Oryzias latipes: one gene and its partner. Each later gene encodes a partner of the first gene's protein in a complex. Links are inferred from orthologs where the notes say so. Each region holds a gene or a part of one and is shown on either strand. Other genes may lie near its edges.

Evidence for each region. Proteins that work in one complex are often made in the same cells at the same time.
Region 2: the proteins of g3bp1 (region 1) and caprin1 are in contact, whole or in part, in a crystal structure (PDB 8TH7), measured with the Homo sapiens proteins. The link is inferred for Oryzias latipes from reciprocal best matches to the Homo sapiens genes G3BP1 and CAPRIN1. Residues at the interface, in NP_005745.1 of Homo sapiens: Glu4, Lys5, Pro6, Ser7, Leu10, Val11, Glu14, Phe15, Arg17, Gln18, Thr21, Leu22, Met29, His31, Arg32, Phe33, Tyr34, Gly35, Lys36, Gln58, Lys59, His62, Leu114, Glu117, Asn122, Lys123, Phe124, Tyr125; in NP_005889.3 of Homo sapiens: Met363, Gln365, Met366, Gln367, Gly368, Pro369, Tyr370, Asn371, Phe372, Ile373, Gln374, Asp375, Ser376, Met377, Leu378.

What each region holds. Positions count from the first base shown.
Region 1 is NC_019868.2:28,987,731-28,991,482, reverse strand, and holds the start of g3bp1 (ras GTPase-activating protein-binding protein 1), read right to left. Parts: upstream 2,846-3,752; 5' UTR 2,719-2,845; intron 24-2,718; 5' UTR 2-23; coding exon 1-1. UniProt on the Homo sapiens protein: Protein involved in various processes, such as stress granule formation and innate immunity. Plays an essential role in stress granule formation.
Region 2 is NC_019864.2:14,863,881-14,867,632, reverse strand, and holds the start of caprin1 (caprin-1), read right to left. Parts: upstream 2,579-3,752; 5' UTR 2,428-2,578; intron 1,429-2,427; coding exon 1,264-1,428; intron 1,146-1,263; exon of another isoform or gene 1,144-1,145; coding exon 1,081-1,143; intron 987-1,080; coding exon 900-986; intron 113-899; coding exon 1-112. UniProt on the Homo sapiens protein: mRNA-binding protein that acts as a regulator of mRNAs transport, translation and/or stability, and which is involved in neurogenesis, synaptic plasticity in neurons and cell proliferation and migration in multiple cell types.

The sequences.
Region 1 (3,752 bases):
TTTCTTTGGTCAGCTGGAATTCTCTGCAGAGAAAGAACAGAAGGGAGCGTCTGAGCTGCGGTGGTTATCCAGGCGGGGGGGAGCCCCACAGCCCTCCCCAGCGACCAATGAACCTCTAAAAAGAATCTCATGGTTCACAGCTGATGTCTGCCACGCCCACAAGAACCAACGGCAGCATGGGGGCAACAAGCGTTGGGTGGACAAAGCGAGCGTGAAATGGAAAGTTAAACAACTGCTGCAAAATGACTCATCTTTAGCTAATGTTTCTGTTGCTCTGGCGACAACTTACAAAACCCTAATCAACCAAATGTGGGGAAACTTCTGAAAAAAGGTGCAACACGAGCTTCCCACTCAAATGTAGTAGAGAATTTCAAACAAACCTTTATTAGCAAAGGTAGCAGAACAAAAGAATTTCATCGCTGACGTTCATCCAGAGTGATCAATGTCACACCAACCGAAACCTGTGACTGAGTGAGCGACGGTTCTGAAGTCACTTCGGATCCAGGAAACGGCTCCAGGTCCACAACACGAGGGGGAAACCCCCCCCCAGATGTTTCAGATTGTGTATTTGGACGCCATGGCAACCGTTGAATAGAAAATAAGAAAAATGTTTAAGTATTGCAGATGAGGCATTTATTCTTGTTTACGCGAGCATTAGCCATGATTTCCCAGGAAGGGGACGAGTGCAGTAACAATGCCCCCCCCCCCCCCCCCCCCCGTCTGATGTGGAATGAGGTTAGAGACCATCCTCCAGCATCATGCAACCAGCAGCCGCAGTCTGAATCAGCAAATTTCAACACCAAAGAGAGAAATCCTCCTCTGTAGAAAAAGCCTATAAATGTAATACATGTGTACCAGATAGCAGAAATGTGTCGTTATTTTCTCACTAAAAGAAAAGTGTCACCAGAATTTCTACATGTTATGGAGGATGGACCAGGATCTTTCAAATGGGATCCCAAAACCACAAACCAAAGAAGCCTGCTTTCATGGGTGGGGGCGTGGCCTTCCAACAAGCTCACTCCTGATTGGAGTCAGACTGCAGGCCTTAAGGGCCGTTATCCAGCAGGTTTTTCAGAAATCAGGTGTGTTTAGCCAATAAGGAGCTTCAATTTCAAGTTGATGGGAAGACATGTGGGACACAGGCCAACGAGGCCTGGAGTCTGACACTTAGAGTGGTTGCCATAGAAACACCGATCAATTCAGATCAACTCTACGTCTGCCTCCAACATGGCGCCGTCCGTTTCACAAAAAGACAACAAGAAGGCGACTGGAATTCCTTCAATGGGTTTGAGCCAGAAGTGAACCTTCCTGCCTCTCCATAATCAGAGGACGATCAGTTTGCATTTACACTGAAGTGAACCACACCAGAGTTCATCTGCAAGTGGATTAGATCATCTTGCCCTGATGAAACCGGATTCTCTAATTGAACAGTTCTTTGGGTTTAATACATCCCCACTTGAACCTGGAAGCGCTTTCACGATTCTACAGGGTTTGACCCCCCCGGCAGTGACGGGTTCTTCCGGGTTTCCAGGATATTCCTGATGTTTTGCACATGGCCATGATCCTGGATCAGGAGGGATCAGCCAATCAGAAGATGTTGATCTTCTATTCTGTCAAGTGGGTTTCACGGACAAACCAGGAGGGACGGTTCAGGGAGCAGACGTGCCGCCACAGACGCACATTCTTCTCTTCCCACTTCAGTTCAGCACCATAAAGCGGATCTGGGTTCAAATACACCAGAGGTTCTGCTGACAGAACCGGAAACTGTTGGCTTGGAGGACCTGGAAGGGAAAGGTGAAGCTCTGAGCCCAGAAGGCCACGAGCCACTTTGACATCTGTTCTCACGGCCAACAGCCATCTGCCATTTTTAACACGGAACGGCCCGGGAGCTCCCGCAGTCACGCGGGTCTGATCCGCGAGGGGCCTAACATAGACGGGACCAATCATTTAACGTGCTTCCGCAGAAGTGCGTGGAGATCTGCACGCGCGGCCCGCAGACAAAGACCACGCCGCGGGAACGGCGACGGAAACGGCCGACCCGCGCGCTCTCTTTCCGGGACCGCGCTGACACGCGCCCCCGAGGCCTTGACAAATTTAACCGGGATTCACGTGTCGTGCGCTGTCCTGGTCCATTCCGATCTAATCCGGGACAGCTGGACGGGCCCACCAACCCCAAAAGACGAATTCTGACGGGGGGGGGGGGGGGGGGGGGGGGCGCTCAGCAGCCCCAGCACGTGTCCCGGGCGGTGCTCGTCCACGCTCCGATCCCGACGCCGAGGCCACAAAATGACGCTTTTAACATCCAAAGACGCGTAGAAACGAAGCTAACTCTGTTTAGGGAAAAGGTGAATTTACCCCACGAAAAATAAGGAAAGAAAGCTGGAAAAACCAGAGGGGGGGGGGGGTGTGCTAACGAGGGCTGCGGCTAATTCCTGCAGCTCAGAGTAAAACCAAGCCGTCGTGGGTGATTTGTAACAGCAACAATTTCATACATATGTCGGAAAAAACCCATTCCGGACTTCTGATCGCGATTAAAAAGCAAGTATAAACGTTTAAATCGGATTTCAGCGCGTCCGTCTATAGACCGCGCGACAATGTCAAAGGAAGCTAACATCAGGATGTAGATGGAGCCCGGATGAGCCACCACGTTAATCCTATTTTCATTCTAGTTTCACTTTCTGCCTGGATTCAAACAGTAGGTTTGACATTAAAACTTACCAATGAGTCAATAGTTTTTGGAAAATGTATAAATATATTTTTTAATCTATGGACTTCGACGAGGCGCTGGCGCGGCTTCGCGGCGTGCTGTAGAGCCCGGGTACCGGTTTCACCTCCGCAGCCAAATCTGACGTCCCTCCGTATAAAGAAGCTTCAGCCAATGAAATGACGCATCCACGACCCGCTGACCAATGGGGTGAGAGAATGGCAAGCCTCCCGCGCATCCAGCCAATCGCGAAGCTCCCTCTATTCCAAGGGAGCCAACCACCGCGCGGCGGTGGCAGAGGGTGCGATGGTTATACCGACAGGCGTATCCCGGCAGATTCTCTACACAGATGTGCACCAGCGGCTGTCCACCGCGTGGAGGCGACAAATGCGTTCAGAATCAGTGATTTTAGGTCGCCGTGAATTTTTCATCCAGAATTATCCACCGTCATCAATCAAAGGGGTTCGAATGCGAGAGTGCTTTAGCTTTAAAATAAGCAGGTGGGTAAATGTAACGCCATTGAGACTGAAATGACTGCAGACAGTCAGAGCAGACTGGAAAAATGTCTGCTCCTGTAGTGCACTAAAGAAAAACGTGTAGTGCACTAAAGAAAAAGAAAAGTTCATCTTTTTAGTCATCTTTTAAAAAGACAAACTAAACACATAGAGCTACTGATCCCATGACTAAACTGCTGCAGATGTTTGAGCCTCAAACCACAATATGGCTGTCATGATGTCAGCACAGAGACATCAGCTTAAAAAAAAAAAAGAGCTGATATTAAATTACAGATGTCTTCCGTTGTTTCCTCTGTCAGAGTCAGGGGGAGTTTTTCCTGCTGGGGCACGCTGGGTTCACGCCGCTGTGCATTCTTGCTGCTGAGGGCTGGATGAGCAGGTACAGATGGTAACTGGGTGCTGCGTCTCTCCCTCTGCCGTCTCCCAGGGGACCACGAGCAGCTGTGAGCGGTCGCTGCCGGATGCCGTTTGCTCTGAGAGGACTGCATGTTCGGCACAGGTTTGCTGCAGCCCTAAAAGGTTACTTTTCCCAC
Region 2 (3,752 bases), on another chromosome or scaffold:
CCAGCCGGTCCAAGATAAACTGCACTTCTAGAACCGTCTTGAGTCTCCTCTGCTCCGCCTCCTCTCGCACCAGCTGCTCCCGCCGCGCAGACTTCTTCACCACCTTCTGGATCTGACCGTCAAGCACACAAGCCACTTAAAGTTAGATTGGTAAAGGTCCAGATGGCTGCATCTGCCCGACTTTTTCAAGTGAAGCATAACAATAAACGGATGCCTCAGCAGTTTGATTAAAACCAAAACTTGGTCATTTTTCTATTAATTTTCCAGATGACATTTCAATATGTCAATGAAAATATCAAACAGTTACGACCTGTTCACCATATTGTCAGGCTAAATGACAGTCAATTCAATTACGTAGAAGGATTGCTTTTTAAATCGGATTTTAGGCAAAAACCTCCCTGTTACCAATAATCTAAGAGCTGCCCATAAATCCCATCAACTTCTTCAAGATAGACGAACCATAATTGGAGTTTGCCGTAAAAATGAACTTGAATCTTGCAGTTATACTGCTTTGTGCTCAACTAGTTTTGATAAATACAGTTACAATATTAATTTATAATCTCAAGCAAAAACTAAACCTTAAATGTTAATTGGTTGGTACCAACACATTTAAAAAAACAACAACAAATCTGCTATAAATTATTAACTATTTGTCCCCAAAACAACAATTTTGGACACGATTTTAATTTTAAATGAATGGCCTGATGCATCTTTTTCCACAAAGTATTGTATGGATCACATTAATGCGTATAAAGTTCAGACAGGGATCAACACTTGAAGGTGTCGGAATGCACTCGGCTGTCACTGAACTAAACTACTGAAAAGTTTGGCTCATTTCAATATTAACAATTTTTTAATGACCAAATTGAGTTTTGTATTCTGATCTTTGTCGTCCTTACATCTTGTCCCAGAGTAATAAAAGTCTTCTGCAACTCTCGGGCAAATTCCAAGTTGTTCATTACTTCCTGGTATTTAGAGAGGGCCTCCTAAAACAGATGAAGATTAAAGGTCAAGAATTAAATTTGTGCGAAATATTTAAAAGATTTTATTGAGGAAAATCTGTGACTTCAACAAACCCACCAGCTGGTCCTGGTTCAGACCTTCTCCTTTATTCTTCTTGACACTGTAATCATCTAATTTGCTCTAAAATAAAAGAAAAATAAATTAAATGAATATTCAGATATTACAAAGGCACTCTTATTAAACTATTGGACTTTTTGTCCGGTGAGGGTACCCACCAGCCATTTAAAGAAAAAGGCTCACCTTTTTTTTCTCCATGTTGCGGACTTTTTTGTCAATAATGCACAGCACCTGCTTCAAGACTTCTGACTGTCCACCCTGTGCAAAACTGCCCATTAAGCCTGGAGCGGATCCCACCTCTGGGCTGGCAGATTGCACTGGGGTATTTGCATTTGTTGCAGAGGGCATCTAGAAGTAAAAAAAAAAAAAAAAAAAAAAAGAAATCTCAATTATAAAGTCAGGTGTTATTTGTACATAAAGACACGCCAGAAAAGAAATAATAGACAATGCAAACCACAATCTGCACAAGAGCAATAAAAAGTGCAATAAGATTAAAGTATTTCTAAACACTACTTTGGATTCTGTTCTATTGGATTTTTTTTCTCACAAAAGTTCTGCACCAACTTTCCATTGCCTCCATTCAGGGAAAAAAAAAGTTCAACACATTTTAAGTATCAGTTTCACTTTTGCAGAATCTTCAGGGCACCTTTGCCTTTTTACCTCTGCGTCCTGAAACAATCCTCAACTATTATTTAGTCAATGTATCTATAAGATTTATTAATGTAAATGTTCAATGATCCTGGATTTTTTTTTTCTTGGCATAGCTCAAAGACGTGTCACGCTACTAAACTAGTTTAAAGAGATTTTCTACCAGACTAACAAATTTTTAAGATCGCATGATGTTGTTTTGTGACAGAGATTGGTGTGAACAAGTACATTAACAACAGATGCGTTAGCTGATTAAAACCGACTGCAACACTGCCAGGAAGAACAGATCTAACTGTATTTTCAAGAAAATCTGGATTTTCATCCAGCGTGACACAAGTTTTCTATTCATAAATTATTTCTGTTATCATTGGTAATCGGAAGGCCCCGAAACTACTGCACGACTACCTAACCGACAAACTTTAGCACCAACTGTGACTAAGCTCATACATTGGATTTCATTCGTACATTAATTTAAATTTGATGATTTTATGTTCTTGTTTGATTGTTTCTGTTATTAGTTCACCGGGGTGTGAACCGGTGTTTCTCGCAGTTCTGAGGTAGGGCCATGGCCGAACTAGTTAACACCCACCACTGACTTAGCATTTTCGCGCACTGCTAGCTGCAGGTCTGATAACGCGTGCGAACTTAGAGCAAAGCAGGAGCCCTTTTTCGCGGCCCCCCAAGCCTTTATTCACCCACCTTGCAGTTATATAAATCCACAGGGGAGCTTGATGGAGAACTGTATAAAAAGGCCAAGTTGTAATTTTTGTTGTGTTGCTTTATTTTCTCTTTAACTCTGGTGTGGGATCCGCCCCGCCGGCCTCACCGACAACTGAGACGGCTCGAAAGACGGAGAAATTCTTTATAAAGGCTATGGTCCTATTTTAGCTGTCTAAGTTCTGCCTAAACATTTTAACAAAAATAATTCTCTAAAAATTAGATATTTCAGCTATTTATGAAATAAACTTTCAAATGAATATACAAAAAAATTAACCCTAAATTATAAAAATAAAATAGGAAGCAAATACGTGTTTTAGGCTAACGTTTATTATCAGGCATAATTTTGAATAGCCTTTTAAAAAGACCCTCTCAACAACATACAAATAAAAAATGCAAATTTTCTTCATCTTCTATTTTCCCCCCCTGTCTTAATCAAACAAATTGAAATCTATCTCATTAACATCTCCAAAAGCCTTAACCAGAAAACTGTATGTTTGTTGTTATGTTGTTATGTATGAATGTTGTAGAAACCTGAATGTTTTTATGTAAAATGCATGTAATATGTATGCTCCCCTGGCATATCTGAAGATTATTTTGCAAAATTGTGTTTTGTATTGTACTTACGTTTTGTACAATAAAGTTAAAAAAAATACAAATAATACTTCAAAAGAACAGACACAAAATCAGCTTGTTTATATTACATGCAATTAAACTTACTAAAACAGACACTACTTTAAAGAACAATTTTTTTAAGGAAGAAACAGAGTAGGCCTACAAAATTTTATTTTGAAATGTGAGTCAGTATTAATCAAATAATTATGATTAATACTGTTGAGCAAAAAGACCATCCTGTGTGTGACAAAAAGGATTTGTTGTGAGGGTAAGGGAGACGTTTCAAGTTTGACTGTGAAACAAATCAGTTACACTTAATGCAATGTCGAAGTCAAAAAGTTTCACAAATTTGTGAGTGTGAGTTAGGTATGTGATGAAACTGAAGCTAGAAATCTGCAAACATAAATTAATTAAACATCTAGAAAGGACTTTAATCTTGGACAAACTGACCCGCTACCTTAGTGTAGTCATTGCATTGGTTTTATGCCTAATAAATTCTTAGTTTTTAAAACATAAAAGCTAACTTTACTGGTTAATGTTTAAAAAATAATCACATTCACCTTTCAGTCAGTGAAATATCCTTGCAATTGTCTTTTTTGCTTCTGGAAATGACATATTTTCCTTTAAAATATTTTTTAATTTTTACTGGTCCCCCAAATGGCCTCTGATCCCTCTGCCTCTCTACGTGTTCA